2 linked regions of the Saccharomyces cerevisiae S288C genome follow. The protein of the gene in region 2 binds, or shares a complex with, the protein of the main gene of each other region. Each region holds a gene or a part of one and is shown on either strand. Other genes may lie near its edges. A codon is read from its position in the direction of its gene.

The links.
Region 1: the proteins of CSL4 (region 2) and MTR3 are in contact, whole or in part, in a cryo-EM structure (PDB 5G06), measured with the Saccharomyces cerevisiae proteins. Residues at the interface, in NP_014167.1 of Saccharomyces cerevisiae: Ile10 (codon at 1,565), Tyr12 (codon at 1,559), Pro13 (codon at 1,556), Gly14 (codon at 1,553), Pro39 (codon at 1,478), Gly40 (codon at 1,475), Thr41 (codon at 1,472), Lys42 (codon at 1,469), Ile44 (codon at 1,463), Gln45 (codon at 1,460), Tyr46 (codon at 1,457), His48 (codon at 1,451), Thr57 (codon at 1,424), Ala58 (codon at 1,421), Thr59 (codon at 1,418), Leu60 (codon at 1,415), Val61 (codon at 1,412), Asn126 (codon at 1,217), Asp127 (codon at 1,214), Phe128 (codon at 1,211), Ala129 (codon at 1,208), Asn130 (codon at 1,205), Leu132 (codon at 1,199), Pro133 (codon at 1,196), Lys134 (codon at 1,193), Gln192 (codon at 1,019), Ala193 (codon at 1,016), Leu197 (codon at 1,004), Gly198 (codon at 1,001), Glu199 (codon at 998); in NP_011674.3 of Saccharomyces cerevisiae: Glu54 (codon at 2,159), Asn55 (codon at 2,162), Cys56 (codon at 2,165), Asn57 (codon at 2,168), Tyr78 (codon at 2,231), Gly79 (codon at 2,234), Pro80 (codon at 2,237), Arg81 (codon at 2,240), Ser82 (codon at 2,243), Arg84 (codon at 2,249), Gly85 (codon at 2,252), Ser86 (codon at 2,255), Phe87 (codon at 2,258), Asn126 (codon at 2,375), Arg129 (codon at 2,384), Tyr130 (codon at 2,387), Pro131 (codon at 2,390), Lys132 (codon at 2,393), Ser133 (codon at 2,396), Ala181 (codon at 2,540), Ala183 (codon at 2,546), Gly184 (codon at 2,549), Ile185 (codon at 2,552), Glu186 (codon at 2,555), Leu187 (codon at 2,558), Val188 (codon at 2,561), Asp189 (codon at 2,564), Met190 (codon at 2,567), Lys205 (codon at 2,612), Glu208 (codon at 2,621).

The regions. Positions count from the first base shown.
Region 1 is NC_001139.9:804,769-808,020, reverse strand, and holds MTR3 (exosome non-catalytic core subunit MTR3), read left to right. Parts: upstream 1-1,999; coding exon 2,000-2,752; downstream 2,753-3,252. Other genes in the region: NSR1 (Nsr1p), read left to right, coding at 365-1,609; CHO2 (phosphatidylethanolamine N-methyltransferase), read right to left, coding at 2,972-3,252.
Region 2 is NC_001146.8:213,265-216,514, reverse strand, and holds CSL4 (exosome non-catalytic core subunit CSL4), read right to left. Parts: upstream 1,593-3,250; coding exon 714-1,592; downstream 1-713. Other genes in the region: PDR16 (phosphatidylinositol transporter), read left to right, coding at 1-528; BNI4 (Bni4p), read right to left, coding at 1,915-3,250.

The sequences.
Region 1 (3,252 bases), on a different chromosome or scaffold from region 2:
GACGACAGCAATTCGACTGGTGGTTGTTAATTACCCTTTGATCCTCTGATTTAAAGACGTAATCCTTCCTGGGGGTAAGTGCCTGATGTATGGGTCCCCATGCCCTTTTTTTTCGTTTCTTTTTTCACTCCATTTCTTTTTTTTTTTTTTTTTTTGGTGAAAAATTTGCAAGGGCAGCTCATCGCAAGAACGAAAATTTTCAATCCAATATTAAAAGTACTTAAGTGTAGCTGTTGCTGTCTGCACTTCCCAATCCATTGGTACCTTAAGTTATTTCCTTTCGTAGTATTTTTCTTACTTTTGCTTCCCAAAGACGAACTGTTAACCAATTTCGGATCACTCAACCCAGGCAGGATAAAATAAGATGGCTAAGACTACTAAAGTAAAAGGTAACAAGAAGGAAGTTAAGGCTTCCAAACAAGCCAAAGAAGAAAAAGCTAAGGCCGTCTCTTCCTCTTCCTCCGAATCTTCATCCTCATCTTCATCTTCATCTGAATCTGAATCTGAGTCTGAGTCTGAATCTGAATCTTCATCTTCATCTTCATCCTCTGATTCTGAATCCTCTTCTTCATCGTCTTCTGACAGCGAAAGTGAAGCTGAAACCAAGAAGGAAGAATCCAAGGATTCCTCTTCCTCTTCCTCTGACTCTTCTTCCGACGAAGAAGAAGAAGAAGAAAAAGAAGAAACCAAGAAGGAAGAATCAAAAGAATCTTCTAGCTCTGATTCATCCTCATCTTCATCTTCTGATAGCGAAAGCGAAAAGGAAGAGTCTAACGATAAGAAACGTAAATCTGAGGACGCCGAAGAAGAAGAAGACGAAGAGTCTTCCAACAAGAAGCAAAAAAATGAAGAAACCGAAGAACCAGCTACTATTTTCGTTGGTAGACTATCGTGGTCTATTGATGACGAATGGTTGAAGAAGGAATTCGAACACATCGGTGGTGTCATTGGTGCCAGAGTTATTTATGAAAGAGGTACCGATAGATCTCGTGGTTATGGTTACGTTGATTTTGAAAACAAATCTTATGCTGAAAAGGCCATTCAAGAAATGCAAGGTAAGGAAATTGATGGTAGACCAATCAACTGTGATATGTCCACAAGCAAGCCAGCTGGTAACAACGATCGTGCCAAGAAATTCGGTGATACCCCATCTGAACCATCTGACACTTTGTTCTTGGGTAACTTATCTTTCAATGCTGACAGAGACGCTATTTTCGAATTATTCGCTAAACACGGTGAAGTTGTTTCCGTCCGTATCCCAACACATCCAGAAACTGAACAACCAAAAGGTTTCGGTTATGTTCAATTCTCCAACATGGAGGACGCCAAGAAGGCTCTAGACGCTTTACAAGGTGAATACATTGACAACAGACCAGTTAGATTAGACTTCTCTTCTCCAAGACCAAACAACGATGGTGGTCGTGGCGGTAGCCGTGGTTTTGGTGGTCGTGGCGGTGGTCGTGGCGGTAACCGTGGATTCGGTGGTCGTGGTGGCGCTCGCGGTGGCCGTGGCGGTTTCAGACCATCTGGTTCTGGTGCTAATACTGCTCCATTGGGCAGATCAAGAAATACCGCTTCTTTCGCTGGTTCAAAGAAAACATTTGATTAATGAGAAAATGAAATGAATTTCAATTTCAATTTTTTCTCTTTTTACGTTAATTACTATATTCCATTTTTGAGGAAAAATTTGGTCTATAATATTTTGTGTACATTAGTAAGTAAATAGGATACATTCTTAAACCTTTCATTCACCATCTCTATTTGCCAACTTTTCTTCGAATGGCTTACTCTTTTTTTTTTCACGATGAGATGAGATCGCTAGATACGGAAGATTACAAGGCCTTGGAAAATACTCAAAAAATTTCAGTAATATGAAATGAATATCTAAATAAAAGCTTGGGCGTTGTGCTTGATTGAGCCACGAAAACTTCCTTTAAGGATTAGCACATACTCCACTTAAAAGTAGGAACATACTCACATTAAGGTGTTATCAGAATAAATGAATGTTCAAGACAGAAGGAGGTTATTAGGCCCTGCTGCTGCCAAGCCAATGGCGTTTAGCAACACTACTACTCATGTGCCAGAAAAGAAATCAACAGATTTGACACCTAAAGGCAATGAAAGTGAACAGGAACTTTCTCTACATACCGGTTTCATCGAAAACTGCAATGGATCTGCATTAGTAGAAGCTAGAAGCTTAGGACACCAAACATCGCTCATTACCGCTGTCTATGGACCACGCTCCATTAGAGGATCCTTCACATCTCAAGGTACTATATCTATTCAGTTAAAGAACGGTCTTCTGGAAAAATATAACACAAATGAACTGAAGGAAGTTAGCAGCTTTTTAATGGGCATTTTCAATTCAGTAGTAAACCTATCTCGCTACCCCAAGTCCGGCATCGATATCTTCGTTTATTTAACGTATGATAAGGATCTTACAAATAATCCTCAGGACGACGATTCGCAAAGCAAAATGATGTCTTCTCAAATATCATCTCTCATACCACATTGTATCACTAGTATAACGCTAGCCTTAGCTGATGCCGGCATCGAATTAGTGGATATGGCAGGTGCCGGTGAGGCCAATGGCACTGTCGTATCATTCATCAAAAATGGAGAGGAAATTGTAGGTTTTTGGAAGGATGATGGTGACGATGAAGATCTTTTGGAATGCCTTGATCGTTGCAAGGAGCAATATAACCGTTATAGAGATTTAATGATAAGCTGTTTAATGAACCAGGAAACTTAGACACGAGATTATCCTAGTCGGAAAGAAAAGTGAAAGAGGTTAAGAAAAAATTCATGGTAAAAGAAGCGCACAAAGGCATTGTACATCAACATCATAATTTATAATGTCATTCTGCATATATGGTAGCTCCATTATATTACAACAACATAACTACTTCTATTCAAAATGTTAACTTGAATCCTAGTACTTTTTAAATATATATACTCAAAAAAAAAAAACTCAAGCAAGACTATCAAGCGTTTGTTTTATATCCCAAGCGCGATGCGAAATAACGTGAGCGTCACCATTGACTCTCCTCATATACTCAGACGAAAGTTCGACGCCAATTGAGTTCTTAATCAATTGTTTCAAGCTGTCCATCCCGAAGAACTTATTTCCTAATGGACGAAATTTACCATCCTTCAAAACGTTGACTTTCGTCAAAAACTCAGTCAAATCCTTCTCAAACAGTTCAGGTGTCGTGGTATTTAGTACCGGCAATGAAATTTCAAATGGTGTAG
Region 2 (3,250 bases):
TTGGTCTTCATGTTGGAAAGAGTTATCGATTTTATGCCAGCTGGTCAAGACTCTCTAGCTTTGCTAATAGACTTTAAAGATTACCCTGATGTTCCTAAAGTACCTGGCAATAGTAAAATCCCACCTATTGGTGTAGGGAAAGAAGTGCTGCATATTCTACAAACTCATTATCCAGAAAGACTAGGAAAAGCACTTTTGACGAATATTCCTTGGTTAGCATGGACTTTCTTGAAGTTAATTCACCCTTTTATTGACCCACTGACCCGTGAAAAGCTAGTTTTTGATGAACCATTTGTTAAATATGTCCCTAAGAACGAACTAGATTCGTTGTATGGTGGTGATCTGAAATTCAAGTACAATCATGATGTTTATTGGCCAGCTCTGGTGGAAACCGCGCGTGAAAAAAGAGATCATTATTTTAAGAGGTTTCAAAGCTTCGGTGGTATTGTAGGTTTAAGTGAGGTTGATTTAAGAGGTACTCATGAAAAACTTCTTTACCCAGTAAAATCGGAAAGCAGTACCGTGTAAAGGCAAATTTAGATAGATAATGATAATGCACTATAATATATAATAAATAAAAGAGAATAAAAAGTTTAATCACGTTCCCGCTTCTTTTTCCTAACCATCAAAGAATGCAATCTAAAGAAGAAGAAGCGAATACCCTCTTTTAAATATATACGCGTCTATATGCACTGTAGATAAGCTGTTACATATCAAAAAGGTTTGGCACATTTGCGCTTTTCTGTAGCGCCTGTAACCGGTGAAGTCATCATTTGCCAGTCTGTAGCATACATCAATCCACCAGCACCATTAGCAGCTCTGGCGAACACGACCCCAAGGTCATTCCTTGCAGTGGTCAAATAGTAGTTGGTTCCGTCACCTAATGATAAAACTTGCGCCCTAACAATATCTCCCGGCTTGAAACATTCTATCACTTTCACACGATCTCTGTCTGTAGACCGTACATCCTGAGACCTGATTATACCTCTGAATGTCTCACCTAAATCTGATGATGCTTGAGAAACAGAGAACGTAGCTGCTCCAGAACCGCCACCAGCAGCGACTATTCCCGATCCATTACTGCCGATGCCACTATCAATTGGAGATGGTTTATCTTCCACAGCTAAAATTTCGACATTGGCTCGTTGCAACGAAAGCCTTGTCACCCTGGTCAGCACAATATCACCTTCCTTCGGTAGGTTATTGGCAAAATCATTATTAGCATATTTGTTGGTTTTACGACCCTTTTCTGTCCCAGGAAGCACTGAAACCAGAATATTTTTTACAGTTCTTCTTGTGACATCATTAGGTGATGCATCTACTGATTTTTCTTCCTCTGTAGATTGATCAGTGCCTTCACGCTCTTCTTCCTGATCAGTTTTTTTTTCTTCCTCACACCTCACTGTCCCAACTAGTGTAGCAGTTATAGCTTCTAAAGTTCGTCCGTTGTGTTCATATTGAATTAGTTTAGTTCCGGGACCGGGCACATAATTGAAAATTATATCTTCGCCATCTTTATTTTCCGTACCGTACTGTGGGCATATTAGTTTACCTGGATAAGCTATTTCTGGAAACTGAAAATTGCATGCCATTATAATACACTTATAGATTGAGGTATTCAATGCTCTGGAAAAAATCAAAGAATCTTTAATATACAAATGCGTAGTTAATCATGCCGTACCATAAGCTCATCATCAGTGAATTCTGGATCTTATTTTTCTTTCTTTTTTCAATATTTTTTGGAAATTTTTACTTCACGTGACGGAGACGGGTAATGCAGACGGTATTTTGAAATGATGCCGCAAATACAACACATAACACCCAAGATTCTTGCGATAAATTATAGGTTTATAAAAACTAGAATGTCTTGATATGTATGATTTGATTCATTTCCATTTCTCCCAGTTTTCTGCTCTAATAAAAATGTGTGTAACATCGCGAATCATCGTGTACTTCCATTGCGCTCTTTAACTCATTTAATTCCAATTTGATCATTTGAGCCAGTTGTGGAGTAAGCTGGTTACAAGTGGAAATTTCTGGATGTCTATCATATTCGAATTCTCCATAAGTGTCGTAAAGTATTATCTGGGACGAAAACCGGACACCCTGGTCATTATTACTGTTTACATACACCTCACCTAGACTTGTTAAGTCTGATTTTACGGGAGAATCAGGCGTCATGGAGTCAATAAAAGAAGTATTCATTCTTGGGGCTTTTAGTCCTTTAAAGGACATTGAAACAGGTCTATTGGGTTCGAATTCTGGTAAATATGCATTATTTCTTGGAGTAACTTCTATGGGCTGTTCTATGTGTTTGTTGAAATCTTCATTCTCAAATTCGTTGTCATTTATTTCACTTCCGTCTTGTTCAAATGTATGTAATTGACCTTGACGCTCATCTCCGTATGTAGTAGCTCCAGCAGCGGAATAAGATTGAGTTTCTCTTTCTTTGTAACTATCCTCTTTGTTATTTCGTGTATCAAAAGTACCAGAGCGATTTACTTCATCATTTCCAACAGGTTCAGGGGTTTCTGTTGCATATGAGGCCGTTGTATCTCCCAAGTCTAGGTCTAGATTGAGATCATCATCACCGAAGTTAATAAAACTTGCAAACTCCATTATATCAGAAATTAACTCGTTATCATCATCTGCAAAAACGCTTTGCCTTTCAGAATCCTTCTTCAGAGGTTCTTCTCTTGGTTTTGGTACATCCCTTTCAACTTCAGTTTTTTCTTCATCAGAGGCCATCACTAGCTGGTCAAATTTTTGTTCAATAGACTCTAAAAATATGTCATCTTTTTTTAGTGGACCACTATCGTCCTTGATATCTAAAAAGTCCTCATTCGTGGTACCTTCGTAAGAGTGTTCTCTGGAGAAATTATCTGAGTATTCGAACCTTCCATTCTTTAAAATGCTGCTAGCAGGAGACTTCGTCAAGTCTGGAGTAGATAATACAACAGAAGATGCCTCAGTGATGAACATTCCCTCACTTTGCGCTTTGATCGATAGCGTATCTGTCAATGACCTTCTTTGCGAGTTCATTGAACTTCTCTTGTTAGACTTTGTAGATCTTGTTCTTTCTAAAGAAACGATCGAGTCGACTTCATGATTATCCAAAAATTTTGGGAAAAGAACCTCACCTGTATCGTGTTTGGAAAATGCTGGTGAGGGTGCTTCGTAGTCCAGTGATAAAAAATTATCCTTGGTTGGTAATTGAAGATCATTTTTGGCATCATCATCTTCTCTTACG